Elephas maximus indicus: one gene and its partner. The protein of the gene in region 2 interacts with the protein of the main gene of each other region in a pairwise test. Links are inferred from orthologs where the notes say so. Each region holds a gene or a part of one and is shown on either strand. Other genes may lie near its edges.

The links.
Region 1: the proteins of MOS (region 2) and SEC24C interact in binary tests that used the Homo sapiens proteins (3 or more experiments, as listed by UniProt). The two-hybrid records come from large-scale screens. The link is inferred for Elephas maximus indicus from reciprocal best matches to the Homo sapiens genes MOS and SEC24C.

The regions. Positions count from the first base shown.
Region 1 is NC_064834.1:13,843,716-13,851,861, forward strand, and holds the start of SEC24C (protein transport protein Sec24C), read right to left. Parts: upstream 3,574-8,146; 5' UTR 3,470-3,573; intron 3,339-3,469; exon of another isoform or gene 3,171-3,338; intron 1,673-3,170; 5' UTR 1,645-1,672; coding exon 1,470-1,644; intron 1-1,469. UniProt on the Homo sapiens protein: Component of the coat protein complex II (COPII) which promotes the formation of transport vesicles from the endoplasmic reticulum (ER).
Region 2 is NC_064837.1:76,846,393-76,853,478, reverse strand, and holds MOS (proto-oncogene serine/threonine-protein kinase mos), read right to left. Parts: upstream 1,824-7,086; coding exon 789-1,823; downstream 1-788.

The sequences.
Region 1 (8,146 bases), on a different chromosome or scaffold from region 2:
ACTCCATTCTTTGCACAAAAGCTGTGCTCATCCTTTCCACTCCTCAGAGTTCCCATCAAGCTACTTCTACTACCCCAACCATCTGCTGCATACTACCCCGACTGTCCTTCCCAGGTGAAACACCAGAAGAAAACTAGCTACTTGGCACCATCACTTTTTTTCTTTTTCTTTTTTTTATTTACTGTACTTTAAGTGAAAGTTTACAAATCAAGTCAGTCTCTCATACAAAAACTTATATACACCTTGCTATGTACTCCTCGGAAACCCTGGTGGTATAGTGGTTAAGGGCTATGGCTGCTAACCAAGAGGTCAGCAGTTCAAATCCGCCCGGCACTCCTTGGAAACTATGGGGCAGTTCTACTCTGTCCTGTAGGGTCGCTATGAGTCGGAATCGACTCGACAGCAGTGGGTTTTTATTTTTTTTTTTTATGTACTCCTAGCTGCTCTCCTGCTAATGAGACAGCATGGCACCATCACTTTTGCTGTGTTTTGTTGTCAATAACAAAGCTGCCTCTTGAGGCAATGCCAAACTCCATCACGATAAGCCAGGACTTGGGAGAGCAGAGGTGGACTCTGACCAGCCAAAGTCCCAACCCACGGTAAAGATTTTTTACAGAAATGAGACCTAATCTCAACACCTCATGAATAACTTTTTCAAAGTTATAATTAAAATAGTAATACTTTATTCATTTCCTAGATCTTACTATGCCTCCTTGGTATCTTGTTTTTCCCATATTCCTTTACAGAATTTACTCTCTTAAAAGTAAAAATATAAAAAGTTTGCGGGCACACAGTAAGTCCTCAATTAGCCTAACTAAAGATCCTGCTTCTTCCAAGAAGCCCCTTTAGATAGTTTGTAAAGTACTAGCCGCCCTTCCTTGAAGAAGTAAAATAAAAGCCAAACACTGATCCTAAGGGCAGCACCAGGTTAGTCTTCTTCTATTGTCCTGAAATTACAGGGCACCTAAGAACCAAAGGAAACACAAGCAAAGGAAAAGGAATGCTATCAGCAGAAAGATATGAGAGGCATCAAAAATCAGGAACATGTACACCACACTTTTCCTCCATGAACACCACACTTTTCCTCCATGAACTAGCTCCAAGAGTCATTTATAGAACCTTCTGTCCACTGAAAGGCATTCTCAATACACAAGGAACAAGTGATTTCAGGAAGACTTTAGAACAATAAGAAATAGTCCTGGCCACAGTCTCTGGAGGAGCTGGGACCACAACCCTTTCATCCAGTTCTGACCAGAGTGAGGCTGCATCTCGGGGTGATACCCACCAGAAGTGAGCTGCCACTAAACCAGGAAGATATGCTTCCACTAGATGCTTAAGTTTGAACCAGAAACAGTCATCCTATGATAAAAACAGGGAAGGGCAGACTGCCCACAGGGATCTCAGTGACAGAGAACCAGATTCATGATTCCCTTCCACAGCTCAAAAGAAACTTAGAAATACATACATACCTGGGGGAGGTGTTTGCTGATAGCCTGGTACTGGGCCATTATAGGAGGTTCCATAGGGGACTGGGGGGACCATGGACCCTGATTGCCCACCATAGCTGGACTGATGATATCCTGGGTAGACAGACTGGGGCTGCCCATATGGCGGCAAAGGAGGAGCTGACTGGTTGACATTCATTATGAGAGCATCCCCGACTCAGTATCACCTATAAAATAAGAGAGAAGAAGGGAATTAGTCCAAACCAACTTTCTAAAAAGAAAGCAACCATTTGGGGTAGGAAGTAGAGACAAAAAGAACTGACTTTATCAGGAATCGTTCCCACAGTACAGGATCTTAGTAATTTTCTGCCCCAGCCAGTACCCATATTACCACCTGGGAGCAAGGATTTTGTTACTCTGAACCCCATGCTTTGTCACTACCAGAGGGTATAAATTTCAACTTCAGATAAGGCCACTGGAATGGAGCAGCAGCCTCCATTCCCCAGTGGTATGATTTCTAGTGTGTAGTCACACAAAGAGTCCTGGGGCTGATGAACTACTGTGATATTACAGGTAAATGAAACAATGCTCCTACTTTCCATTCATTCACTTTAGCATCCATTCATTCCACAAACAGTGAGTACCCTAGAGAGTGCCAGTCTTTTTAAACACCAGGCTACAAGTCTAAAACAGACCAGTGTAATTCCCTTCCCTTGGAAAGACAAATTTTACAGTAACTGATTAGAGAAATGACATTCTTTGGTTAAACTGTAATAATCCAAATGCTACTCCTACTCCATTCCTAGTTTTCTCATCAAAAGAGTATATGCACATTACAACTGAAACATCAAATTCCCTAAATGTAAAGGACTTCTGAAAACTCAAGCAAGGTACCAGATTAGAGCTGAGTGCAGGCCAGGAACAAAAACTTCTTCACAATAACCTATAGAATCAGTGACAAAGTTATAGTTCATCAAAAAAATCATTCATCTTATCCTTCAGAGTTGTTGTTAGCTGCCATCCAGTCACCTGGACTCATGGCAACGTGCACAATGGATGAAACGCCACCTGAGGCAGTGCCAACTCTCTGCTTCTGCTCTCCTTATATGCTTGTCATGTATCTTGGCCACCTCCAAAATTATTAGTCTTGCCTAGAGACAGAGGAATGAATGAGAGAGCCTTACTAGGATCCTTCAAAGAAGAGGACTGTGTGATGACATCTACTTTAAAGAGTCTCACCACTTCCAACTATCCCATAGACGGAAGGGGCCCAGGATGCAGCAGAACTCACAGCTGCTGCAGTGGAACAATGGACCTCTCCCCTTTGCTAGGAAGGGCCATCTCGACCATAGAAAAGCTAAGCTGCTCCTCGACAGGGCCTCCTTTGCCATCTCAGGATCTGTTCTTCCAAATTCTGAACCTTGCACAGGTCACTGACACTGATCTTGACAGATGCTCCCCTCCCCTAAAGTTAGTGGAGGGGGACAATAAAAAGCCCAGGAAATAAAAAGTCGAGGCTGGAGTAGGACACAGGCTTTCGACAAAGCAACATCTACCCCCTCTTCTTAAACACACCAAGCATTTAGAGTCAAGCTCAAGTCTCAACTCCATCCTGAAAGCAGTCGAGGATGACAACCTAAGGGGGCGGGGCAGGCTTCCTAGAACTCTGGAAGTAGTCGAACTGTGGAGGTGGTGGCTAGCAGTGCTGGAGATCAAGACCGAGGGGCCAAGCCAGCTTCTCGGGCCAGGATGAGAGACATCGCTGGTCCATTAAGCCTGGCGACCGAACGTCCTGCGCCCTTCAACAAGCTGGGGACAGGAAACGCGAGCCGGAATCTGGGCCGGGAGGCGAAGGGAGGGTCCAGAGCTGATCCTGGATTGTGGATGCGTGAGGTGAGGGTCTCTTCCTGGGTTCTGCCCCCGGACTCCTCCCTTCTTTCTCAGACGGGGCCCCGATCTGGCCAGTGATACCTCGGCCTCTATGCTGCTTTCCTACCCACCAACCACCCGATGCCACTCCTCACCCGGCTCCAGATCCAGGTCCGACTACGTTCCTAACGTCAAGGCTCCCAGGCTCCACTTCCGGTTCCGAGGGGGCTGTCGCGTCGTCCCCGGAAGTGCCGCCCCCACGCTGGAGAGCTTGGCCGCTCCGTCTGCCACGTCTGCACTAGGTGCGCGCTCGGGAACCCGGATGCTGCGCATGCTCCTCTCCTCATTTCCAGCATGGCCGCCGCCTAGAGAATCTGAGGATTTTTATTCATTTCTGCTTATTTATTTTTTTCGGGTATCTTTGTCACTTTCTGGCCCCACCGGCTGAAATCCGATTGAGAAGGATGGGTCGGACTATCCTTGGGGACGCCCCCTCTATCCTCCTGTGACGTATTGGTGACCTCTGATCTTGTGTTCCTGCTGAATCCCGACTTCCTTCTGACCCCTGGCCCCTGGCCCCATGTTCCCGTCTTCGAGGTTGTTTTCACCCGTGACCTTTGTTGGTCGTAGCATTTGCTGAATGTATGGTGGCAAAGAGCACTAACGCTGCTTTCAGGCCGCGTGTGTTCGAATTGTGGCTTTGCAGTTCGCTAGCTTTGGCAACTTAATCTCTCTGGCCCTCAGTTTCCTTCATCTGAAAAGTGGCGCTAATAACAACAGTGCCCATCTAATAGCTTGTTGATTCAGTTAGGCAAGTTACTGACAGTAAGAGGTTAGTAAAGGTCTGAGTCTGTTGCAAGAGCCACAGTTCTCGATTAATTATTACCTAGTGTAATGAATAACAATAATTGTCGCTAATATTTGCACACTTTTTTTCATATACATGACATCATTTATAACTTACAGCTATTTATTTTTTTAATAATTACTTTTTGAGCACTGTTGTGTGCCGAGCCACGTTCTTGGTGTTGTAGAAAGAGTATTGAACAAAACAAAATCTTTGCTCTCATGTTGTTGACAGTAGATACTAGTTATTCTCAGGCACAGAGTGGTTCATTAACTGAAAAAAAAAATTCATCGCATATATAGTCTCTGCTGGCAACTATTTGGCATTGAACATGCTTTAGTAAACAAGTAGATTGTCCTGTAGAGTTTATAGTCAAGATCACTGGTTCTGAAAATGTGATCCTGGGACCAACAGCATCAGTTACACCTGGGAACTTCTTAGAAATGCAAATTTCAGATCCACCCTAGACACTGAATCAGAAACTCTGGAGGTGGGCCTAAGCAATGTGTGGTTTAACCAGTCCTCTAAATCAGTTCCAGAGCCATGGTGTGCAGCAGTTAAAGCTGTCAGCTGCTAACAGAAAAGTGGGTTGTTCGAACCCACCGGCCACTCTGTGGGAGAAAGATGTGGCAGTCTGCTTCCATAAAGATTTTAACCGTGTCACTAACTATGTAGTAAACAAGTGTCAACTCCAGTGAAGGGAAGGACAGCACATAATACAGGGGAAGTCAAGACATTGGGACCAAAGCAAAAGCATAGGAGTTTCCTAGACACATCCAAACACTTTGAGGGAACAAGTAGCTGGGACGGGGCATAAAGACCGTAGTCTGAGGAGACATCCAGGTCAACTGGCATGAGATTATAAAGAAGATGTTCTACATCCCACTTTGGTGAGTAGAGTCTGGGGTCTTAAAAGCTTGCAAGCAGCCATTTAAGATACATCCATTGGTCCTATCCCACCCAGAGCAAAGGAGAATGAAGAAAACCAAAGACACAAGGAAAATACTAACCCAAAGGACTAAGGACCACATGAACCAGAGACTCCACCAACCTGTGACCAGATGAACTAGATGGTGTCCAGCTACCACCAATGACTGCCCTGACAGGGAACACAACAGAGAGTACTGGACAGAGCAGGAGAAAAATGTAGAACAGAATTCAAGTTCATGTAAAAAGACCAGGCTTAATGATCTGACAGAGACTGGAGGAACCCTGGAACTATGGCTCCAGGACACTGTTAACCCAGAACTGAAACCATTCCCGAAGCCACTTTCCAGACAAAGATTAGACAGGCCTATAAAACAATAAAACAAAAAATTAATACACGCGAGGAACGTGCTTCTTAGTTCAATCAAATATTCAAGACCAAATGGGCAGCTCCTGTCCAAAAGCAGGATGAGAAGGCAGGAAGGGACAGAAACTGGATAAATGGACACAGGAAAACTGGGGTAGAAAGGAGGAACTTGCTGTCACGTTGTGGGGATTGCAACCAATGTCACAAAACAATATGTGTATAAATTTTTGAATGAGAAATTCACTTGAACTGTAAACTTTCACCTATAGCACCTATGGGGCAGTTCTGTCCTATAGGGTCGCTATGAGTTGGAATCAACTCGATGGCAGTGAGGTTTGGTTTGATTTGGTCTGGGTGATTCCATTGCACACTGAAAATTGAGAACTACTGGTCTAGATTTGTGTTGTTTTTAGGTGTTGTTGAGTTGGTTCTGACTCATAGTGACTCTAAGTACAACAGAATGAAACTGGTCCAAATTAATACTTGTCAAATGCAACTAGCATTCGTTGAGCACTTGCTGTAGGCTGAGCCCTCTGCTAAGTGTTTTCACCAATTTGTTTCATTTAACTTTCGTATCAACATAGGAAAGTAGGTGTCCTCTGTCTTGCTCAAGGTTGCATCCTTCGTAAGTGGTAGAGCTCAGATTCATAGCTTCTTGAAGCTAATGTGTTGCATTTTGTTGTTTTCTGTATCTTCCGCTCAGTTGTTCTCAACCTTGGCTACATATTAGAATCGTCTGTAGCGCTTTTAAAAATACTGATACCAGGTAGCAGACCAACAAAATCAGAAGTTCTGGGGCTGAGGCCTGGGAATCATTATATATACATATTAATAAATTATTTTATTATACAGTCACCTAATATTATATGCTGTTTTATTTTAAGGACTCAGTAGTTTTAAAAACTCTTCAGGTGATGGAGCACAGTTCTACTCGGATACACGTGGGGTCACCATGAGTCAGAAGTGACTCAACAGCAACTTTTTTTTGAAGTAGTGGCAGTGCCTCCTTTCTGTGATGCTACAAAGCGAAGCAGGGTACACGATCACTGACCTCCCTGTTTGGGTAGTTGAATGGTACCTGTGTCTTTGCTTTAAGGGTTTATTTTCCTCTCTCCCCCTTGGTACATAGAGTGACCAGCCATCTTGGTTTGCCTGTTGTTGTTGTTAGGTGCCCTTGAGTTAGTTCTGACTCATAGCAACTCTGTATAAAACAGCATGAAACACTGCCTGGTCCTGTGCCATCCTTACAATCATTGTTATGCTTGAGCCCATTGTTGCAGCCACCGTGTCAATCCATCTCATTGAGGGTCTTCCTGTTTTTTGCTGACCCTCTACTTTACCAAGCATGATGTCATTCTCCAGGGACTGGTCCCTCCTGGTAACATGTCCAAAGTATGTGAGATGAAGTCTTGCCATCCTTGCTTCTAAGGAGCATTCTTGGTTTGCCTGGGACTGAGATAATTCCTGGGATGTGTAATTTTCGCTTTTAAAACCAGAAAGGTCCTTGGCAAACTAGGATGAATTGGTCATCCTACTAATAACTGAGGCTTTATGTGCCTATATGAAAATTAAGTAATTGTTTTTTCACTTTTTTATTGTCGTTCAACTTATGAGAGAACATATTGTGATGCAGATTTTTTGTTTACGACATAATTTTGAATAGATTATATTTTAAAATAAAAAAAAAAAAACATTGCCATCAAGTCAAATTCTGACTCATAGCTACCCTATAGGACAGAGTAGAACTGCCCCATAGGGTTTCCAAGGCTGTAAATTCTTATGAAAGCAGGCTCCCACATCTTTCTCTCTCAGAGCAGCTGGTGGGTTCGAACCACTGACCTTTCAGTTAGCAGGCAAGCACTTAACCATTGTGCCACCAGGGCTCCCCAGATAATAGTTTAAAATGGTTCAAAATCCACAGTTTAGAAAGTTATATGTAGTGAAGTCTCTCCATCTGCAACAAACAGAAATGCCTGTTTCACCATGCCTTCGCTAACAGTGTTAGCAAACGTTTGGATTTTTGTCGTTTTGATAGAAACGTGAAAAATGGTGTCTTAGATTTGTATTTCTTATGACGAAGGCTGAACGTCTTAATTTTTTAAGACACCTGTATGTTTTTAGTGTATTTTAAAAACATTTTTATGGTTGTCTTCTTGTAAGAGTTTTTTGTATAGATTGGAAATTAGGTATTTGTCTCTGATATTGAATTACAGATATTTTCCCTAGTGTGTAATTTATCTTATGAATTTGCTTTATGATGGGTTTTGCCATGCAAGTATATTTGATTTTTATGAAGATGAATTTATTATTTATTTATTTGGGGACTAAAAACCAAAACAACTCAGGTGACTCTAATGTGAATTCAGGGATAATTAAAAGCCACTGGTATAATATGATTGGCATGTAGTTCACAGCAATAAATGTTTGAATAATGAATGAATGGATATTTATATTCTCTTTTTACTGATGAGGTCAAGTGACTGCCTGAGGTCACCTAGCTAATACATGGTGGAACAAGAACTCAAGTCCAGGTCTTCAACTCAAAGTCCCAAGTGCTTCCCATGACCATATCACACACGAAGGCAAACAGCATTTAGGGCACTAGGAGAGCAGCTATTCTAAGGAACCTGATAGCTTTTGATAATCACAGTCACAGTACCATAATTTCATGTTTTGTAACAGAAAGAGATC
Region 2 (7,086 bases):
CAGCAGCCGTTGCCTTTACTTCTATAATTGGCTATCTGGCTCTCCTTGCCTGTTCTCCTCTGTCCAAATGTTAAATTTTACTATTCTTTAGGGTTGTCTCCCCCACCGCATCATATAATCACCCTTTGTTGTGTCATTTATTTCTGAGTCCAAACACCAGGCAAAAGACACTCAGTTCAGAAGCATTTTAGAAAACGATTTTACTCACGGCAATGCACATGTTCAAAAAAAAAAATCACAGGTTCAAAATATCACAAATCATTTAATGTTTATTCTTTTTAAAAATAATTTTATCTCAGTTTGTAAATCTTACGTGTGAAGAATTTTTTTTTTGTGGGAAGGCACAGGAATTTTTTTTTTTTTTTTTTTTTTACTGATTTGACATGGAACCAAGTAACCTGCAAATAGTTTGAATTTATGTGATTTGAATTATTATTTAAATTTATAGAAAAAAATTGGCAATTCCACAGTTTAGTTCTGTTTGGACAAATTGGTTTTTTCAATAGAACATTTGGGAAAAGGCAATAGTATGGAACTGTTAAACACTAGCTGTGGGAAGCAAAGCCTACAGCTATGTAAAGGAAAAGGGTTAGTTATCAACAGTACTAAGACAAGTACTAGGTTTTTAGCTCAGGACTTTGTCTTAAAAAAAATCACTTGAGACTAAAGGAGGTTTTAAGTAACTTTATTTTCCAAAAGTCCATCCTATACATAGGTTTTCTTCTACATCTCCAGTTCTTTAAAAACGAATAGAAACAAGGAAAAGCATACCTGACACAGGCTTAAAGTCAGCAGAACTCAGATTTTAAAGAGTTAAGGTCAACAAAGAGAAGCTCTGCATTTGGCCTCTGGGAAGTACTGGCTCCCCAGCAGCTCTGGATGATCTTCTCAAGCCTTTGGCCCAGGACAGAGTCCGTGAAGACAGCCACTGAGAGAGATGGGCGAAGGTTGTGGGCCACAACAGCATAGAGCACATACTGTCGCTCCCCTGAGTAAGGCACCTCCTTGGTCGTCATCTGCCAGAGAGTTATGGCAAAAGAATAGATGTCAGCTTTGGGAGTTATGGTCTCTCCTTTCAGGAGCTCTGGGGCGCGGTGGGTGTAGGTACCGCCTAGGTGGTGAGGAGCGTGGAAGCCTAGCAGACCTTCCAGCCTCTGCGAGCAACCAAAGTCCCCAATTTTGCAGACGTCCTGTTCGCTGATCAGAATGTTCGCTGGTTTCAGGTCCAAGTGCACGATGCTTTGTGAGTGAAGGAACATCAGGCCCTTCACAACATCGAGGGAATACTTGAGACACTTTGTCAGACTTAACAGCCCTCCAGCAGAGCAGGAAGGCTCCTCGGGGAGGCCGGTAGCCCCGTAGATGAGTTGGTGTAAAGTGGTGTTGCCCCCGAACTCCATGACGATGGTGCCTAGACTATTAAAACCCGCGGGCGTGCGCGTACTGGCAGCTACCACCCGCACGATGTTGTCGTGGTGGAGCCTGGCTATGTTGAGCTCAGCCCAAAAGCTTCGCTGCGACGCCAGTCGGTTCTTGGTGCTCTTGTTCACTTGTTTTATGGCCACGGGAAGCCCATGGTAAGTGGCCTTGTAGACCGAGCCAAAGCCTCCAGCGCCCAGCCTTTGCAGGAAGCGCACCTGTTCCCAGTCGATGGAGCACCAGGCCAGGCGGCGGGGCAGCCGAGGTGCCCTGGGAGGGGTGCCACCCAGGACGCGCTGTCCCCGCCGCCCTGGGCGCTCGCAGGGGCTGCTGCAGGGCCGCGAGTCCCCAGAGGGAGACAACTCGCCCGGGAGGACACGGCGCACAGACAGGGGCGAGGGCATAGCACTCTCCAGGTGGAGCCAATACTCAAGGAAAGGAAAAAGAAAAACTGCGCGCGTTAGGACGCATGACTAACAGCCCTTCGCCCACCGAAGCCTTATTACCCTCTTGCCGCATTTTCTCCAAACGAGCCACGTCTGAGATGCTACTCAGCAAGGACTTTCATCAGATGGGGCGAGGGAGACGGGGGTTGAAGGAAGTACAGCAATCGCTTTCAGATGAAAGCATTTCCCCTAAATACGGTGGTTTCTAACAAAAACAAGCTCTCACTACATCAAGTTCACCGTCTAAAGGGCACTGCATTGTCCTTTGACTCACCCAGCTTTGACACTATTTTTTTTATTATAATAAAATGGACTTTTGGCAATTCTCCTTCTCTGAACATTATCAGTCCTAAAGAGACCACACCAATAAAATGGAATGATTTCACACTTTGCAGATTGTCAGTGCTTCTCTCCAGCTGCGGTAAATAACTTCCAGCAGTTATTGGCAGAAAGAGTTGAAATACAAACAGCAAACGTTTGTTTAACCAAATATGGGGATATTAGGTGCAACATTCATCGGGACACAGGTCAAAACACACACCTCCTGAGTTCATGGGGAAAGGAAGCCGCACCCACACTCCGTTCAGTTTATACAGCAAATTAGCAAGACTTCTCACCAACGTGGCTCCCTGGTGGCACAGTGGTTAAGAGCTACGGCAGTTCAAACCCACCAGCCGCTCCCTGGAAACCCTGTGGGGTAGTTCTACTCTGTCCTATAAGGTGGCTAGGAGTTGGAATCCACTTGAAAGCAATGGGTTTGGGTTTTGGGTTTAGTTTTTGGTTCTTATCAACCTACCAACTTCCTGCCAATCCTCCATTCCCTTGGCAATATGGCCCGCCCAGTTCACTCCCTTGCACTCTAGACTTTTCAGTAAATGAGTTACAGAAATTTTGAAGCAGAGTTGAGGATGGAGGGTGGGGGGTGGGGGGGTGGCGCTGGAGAACAACAAAAAAGTTTAGAGTCATAATGAAAGCGTCATATAATAACAAACATGGGAGAATTAATGCAGAGTAAAAATCTGAAGAAATTAAATGTCTCAGTTTCACTAGTGTCTATATAAAACCAGATGTTGAAATAAAATTCAGGGGCTTGTCACTCAACCATAAAGTCTTCCTTTCTAACTTTTATAATGAAAAAAAATTATTTTTACGCCATTGTCTTTGGAAAGCTAAACTAAGCCCATGCCATCAAGCTGACTCTGACTCCAGGTGACCCCACGGGTTTCAGAGTAGAACTGGACTCCACAGGGTTTTCAAGGGTATCACCTTTTGGAAGCAAATCATCAGGCCTTTTTTTCGAGGCACCTCTGGTGGGTTGGAACTGCCAACCTTTCAATTAGGAGAGCTTAGCCATTTATACCACTCAAGGACTCCATCTTTAGAAAAAAGACCAACAATGTCACCTGATTAGTTAAAAAGCACAGAAGAATGTACTTTTTAAAAAGTCAAATGGCAACGTTTCATTCTGACTTACTGTACCCAGAGCACACAGGTTATGGGTAACCACATTTTTATGACAGCTTCTGTGTTTCTAACATATTGGTTCGGAAAACACACATTAATAAACCCGAGCTACTTATTAACATAAGCAGTTTGAGGTTTATTGAGCCCTATATAGGATTTCTCTTCTGCACTATTCCTCTGGATTAGTATGTAATCTTGGATATAATATTTAATTTGTTTGAGCCTCACTCTTTTCACGTAAGAAATTAGGATAATTTATTAAAATAAAAATTATTATTGTGAAATTAAATTTGGGGAATCCTGCCCAAATTACCAACAAAAAACCAAATCTAAAAATTTAAACTATAGAATATTTTAGTAGAAAGGCAATTGTATGCAATTGTACTGAGCCCCAAGTATACAAGGATGACAATGAAAATGAGTAAAATGAAAAATTAATAAAACTATATTCAATGGCTCTATATTGCAAAATTTATTCAATAGTTGGAATTAGAATACTGATGACTCTGAGGACTCTGCATAATGCTAGGAGTGCTGTGAAAATTCTCAGAATAAAAGCACTAGAGCACTGTGCCTCCTAGGTATTACACAGAATGCAGGATGATGTGATTTGTTGTCATATAATATTTATTTAAAAGATAACAACAAGCAATTTTTTTAAAGTGCAGATTTTATGTTTTACATAAAACACAGGGCATTCACAAAAATGTGGTCCTTTTTACACTCAAAAAACACAAACTCATCTGAAAAACTATTTAATTCAGTATCCATTTTAAAAAAAACAGTCATTTGTCTCCTTTTTTTAGGCATCTGAAAATAAGCTTCTCTTTCTCAGCAAACTGCAGGCCCCCTGAAGGCAAGACCTATGTCCCCTGTTGATTTTTTCTTCCCTGCGAGTAGCGTGGTGACTGGCACATGTTGTTATTGTTGTTAGTTGCTGTTGGGTCGAATTCGACTCATGCTGACCCCATTTGTGCAGAGTAGAACTGCTGCACAGGATTTTCAAGGCTATAACCTTTTGGAAGCAGATACCCAGGCCTGTCTTCCAAGGTCCTTCTGAATTTAATTTTTAATTCTGATTTTGTTACCATGGATGTATGCACTAAATAATATTTTGGATCTCAGAAATGGATAAAGCCTAACATGGTGGGAAAAAGCAAAGGCTCTGGGGACAGATGGTCTGGGTATCTTGCTGTCTCTGTGCCTCAGTTTCCTCATCTGCAAAATGAGGAAAATATTAGGTTTCCCTAAGGATTGTTGTGAGGACGAACAGAGCTTCATATATTTAGATAGGGCCCTGGCTTAGAGGAAGTGATATAAAAATGTTAGTTATTATTTATTCAACTCATAAAAACCATGGTGTCATCTAGTTGTCTAGTGCTGCTATAACAGAAATGCCAAAAGTGGGTGGTTTTAACAGAAATTTATTTTCTCACAGTCTAGGAGGCTAGAAGTCTGAATTCGGAGTGCCATTTCCAGGGGAAGGCTTTCTCTGTCCATTGGCTCTGGAGGAAGGTTCTTGTCATCAATCTTCCCCTGGGTTTAGGAGTCTCTCAGCGCAGGGACAGGTCCAAAGGACATGCTCTGCTCTCAGCTCTTCTTCCTTGGTGGTAGGAGGTCCCTCTCCTCTTTGCTGGATCCTCTCTTTTATATCTCAAAAGAAATTGACTAAAGATACAATCTATTCCTGTAAATTGCATGCTGCCTCATTAACATAACTGGCTCTAATCCCACCTCATTAACATCATAGAGGTAGGATTTACAACACAGAGGATAATCACATCAGATCATAAAGTGTTGGACAACCACACCCATACTGGGAATCATGGCCTAGCCAAAGTGACACATATTTTGGGGGGGGGGGGGCACAATTCAATCCATGACACATGGATATGGGTTTACACCAATAAGAAATAGATTTGTTAGACAGTATTGGTTGAAAATGTATCCTACCCGGGCTGAAGTAACTCATTTTACTATAAGTTAAACCAATTTAAACTTTGAGAATTTTTTCTGCTTTAAGTTTTTACTTCTGAGGTTAAAGGTGTAAAAGTACATTGCATTATTGTTATAGACTAAAAACGCTGAGGGTTAACATTCATCTGAAAATGTAACATCCCTAAATCATGCCTAGACAAAGACAGAAGAGCAGAATTTCTTGATAACATCTTCAGTAGCTCTACCAACAGGTGGGGTGGTAGATGAAACAAAGGAGAAAAAACAAGGAAACCGTGTGGGGCTACTGCCAAAGGAAGTCTCTTAGAAGAAAAGGCTTTCCTTGCTCTGCTTTCATGGGAAGCATGACTTAGATGTTTAACTACCATGTAAGCAACAGTATATTTATCACAAGATGTTACTATAGATACCAGAATTAATCGCTCACTTAAATACGATTTTAGGGAAAGAGAATGAATGAGAAACAAGGATTGGTTAAGGCCAACCTCTTTCTGGATAACCCGCGGGGTTGCTGCCGCTCTTAGGCTGGTCGAGTGGCCAGGTGGTGCGGGATCTGGGAGTTTTCCTCCTTTGCCGGGCAGGGCCGAGGAGGTGAGTTTTCCCTTCATAGATTCATGGTCACTGGGAGGTGAGCGTCTTCTGTTCAAGGTCTTTAGGACCGGTTGATATCGCCGCCCACCTGTAGGGCTCACTGGCCTCCAAGGCCTCTTTAGCTTTGAGGTTTCTGTGGCTTGGCTCGCGAACCCCACCCCTCCCATTACCGCCTGGTGTGTGAATCTCCTGACAAGCTGAAAGGCATTTTCACCTATGCTGTGTCTGTTCCTTTTCCTTTCATAGCTGTCAGATAGCATGTAAGTGAGGCCATCTTCCCCCAAGATGACTTTCTTACCTAATATTGAATTGGATCCCTGGTGGCTCAGTGGTCATGAGCTATGACTGCTAACCAAAATGTTGACTGTTTGAATCCACCAGCCGCTCCTGAAACCCTATGGGGCAGTTCTATTGTGTCGTATAGGGTCGCTATGAGTTGGCATCGGCTCCCTGGCATCGGATTTGGTTTGGTTTTGGTTAATATTGAATTAAGCCAAGCTTCTGTGTTCCCTTGCCCTTCTGGTAACACAGTAACTTCTCATTTCAATTCTGAATTATCATGTAATCTTTTGGGAAACATTTTAAAAAATTATTTTTTTTTGTTGAGAGTATACTTAGCAAAACGTACACCAATTCAACAATGTTTACATGAACAATTCAGTGACATTGATTACATTCTTCAAGTTGTGCAGCCATTCTCACCCTCCCTTTCCAAAATGTTCTTCCTCCACTAACATAAACTCACTGCCCCTTTATGTTCCTAAAGTTACTGTTATCAATTTGATCCCATATAGATAGTTCTTTAAAGGGCTCGGTGGTCAAGGCAGACCATTCTTTACTAGTTAAGCTAAATTTTTGTTTGGTTTTAAAAAAGATTTTGGGGGGATATTTTTGGTTTAAGATTTAAAGATTATCTCAGGGCAATAGTTTGGGGGATTCAATCCAGCCTGGATTCCACCTGAATTTGACATTCCGTTCTGCATTTTGATCAGGGTTCTTTAGAATCTTTGATAAAAACATTCAGTAATGGTAGCCGGGCCCCACCCAGTTCTTCTGGTCTCATGGCAAAGGAGGCAGCTGTTTTTGGAGGAAATTAGCCACACATTCTATTTGCTCCTCCTATTCCTGACTCTCCTTCCTCTGTTGCTCCAAATGAATAGAGACCAATTGTTGTACCTTGCAAGCTTTTAAGACCCCAGGCATTATGCCA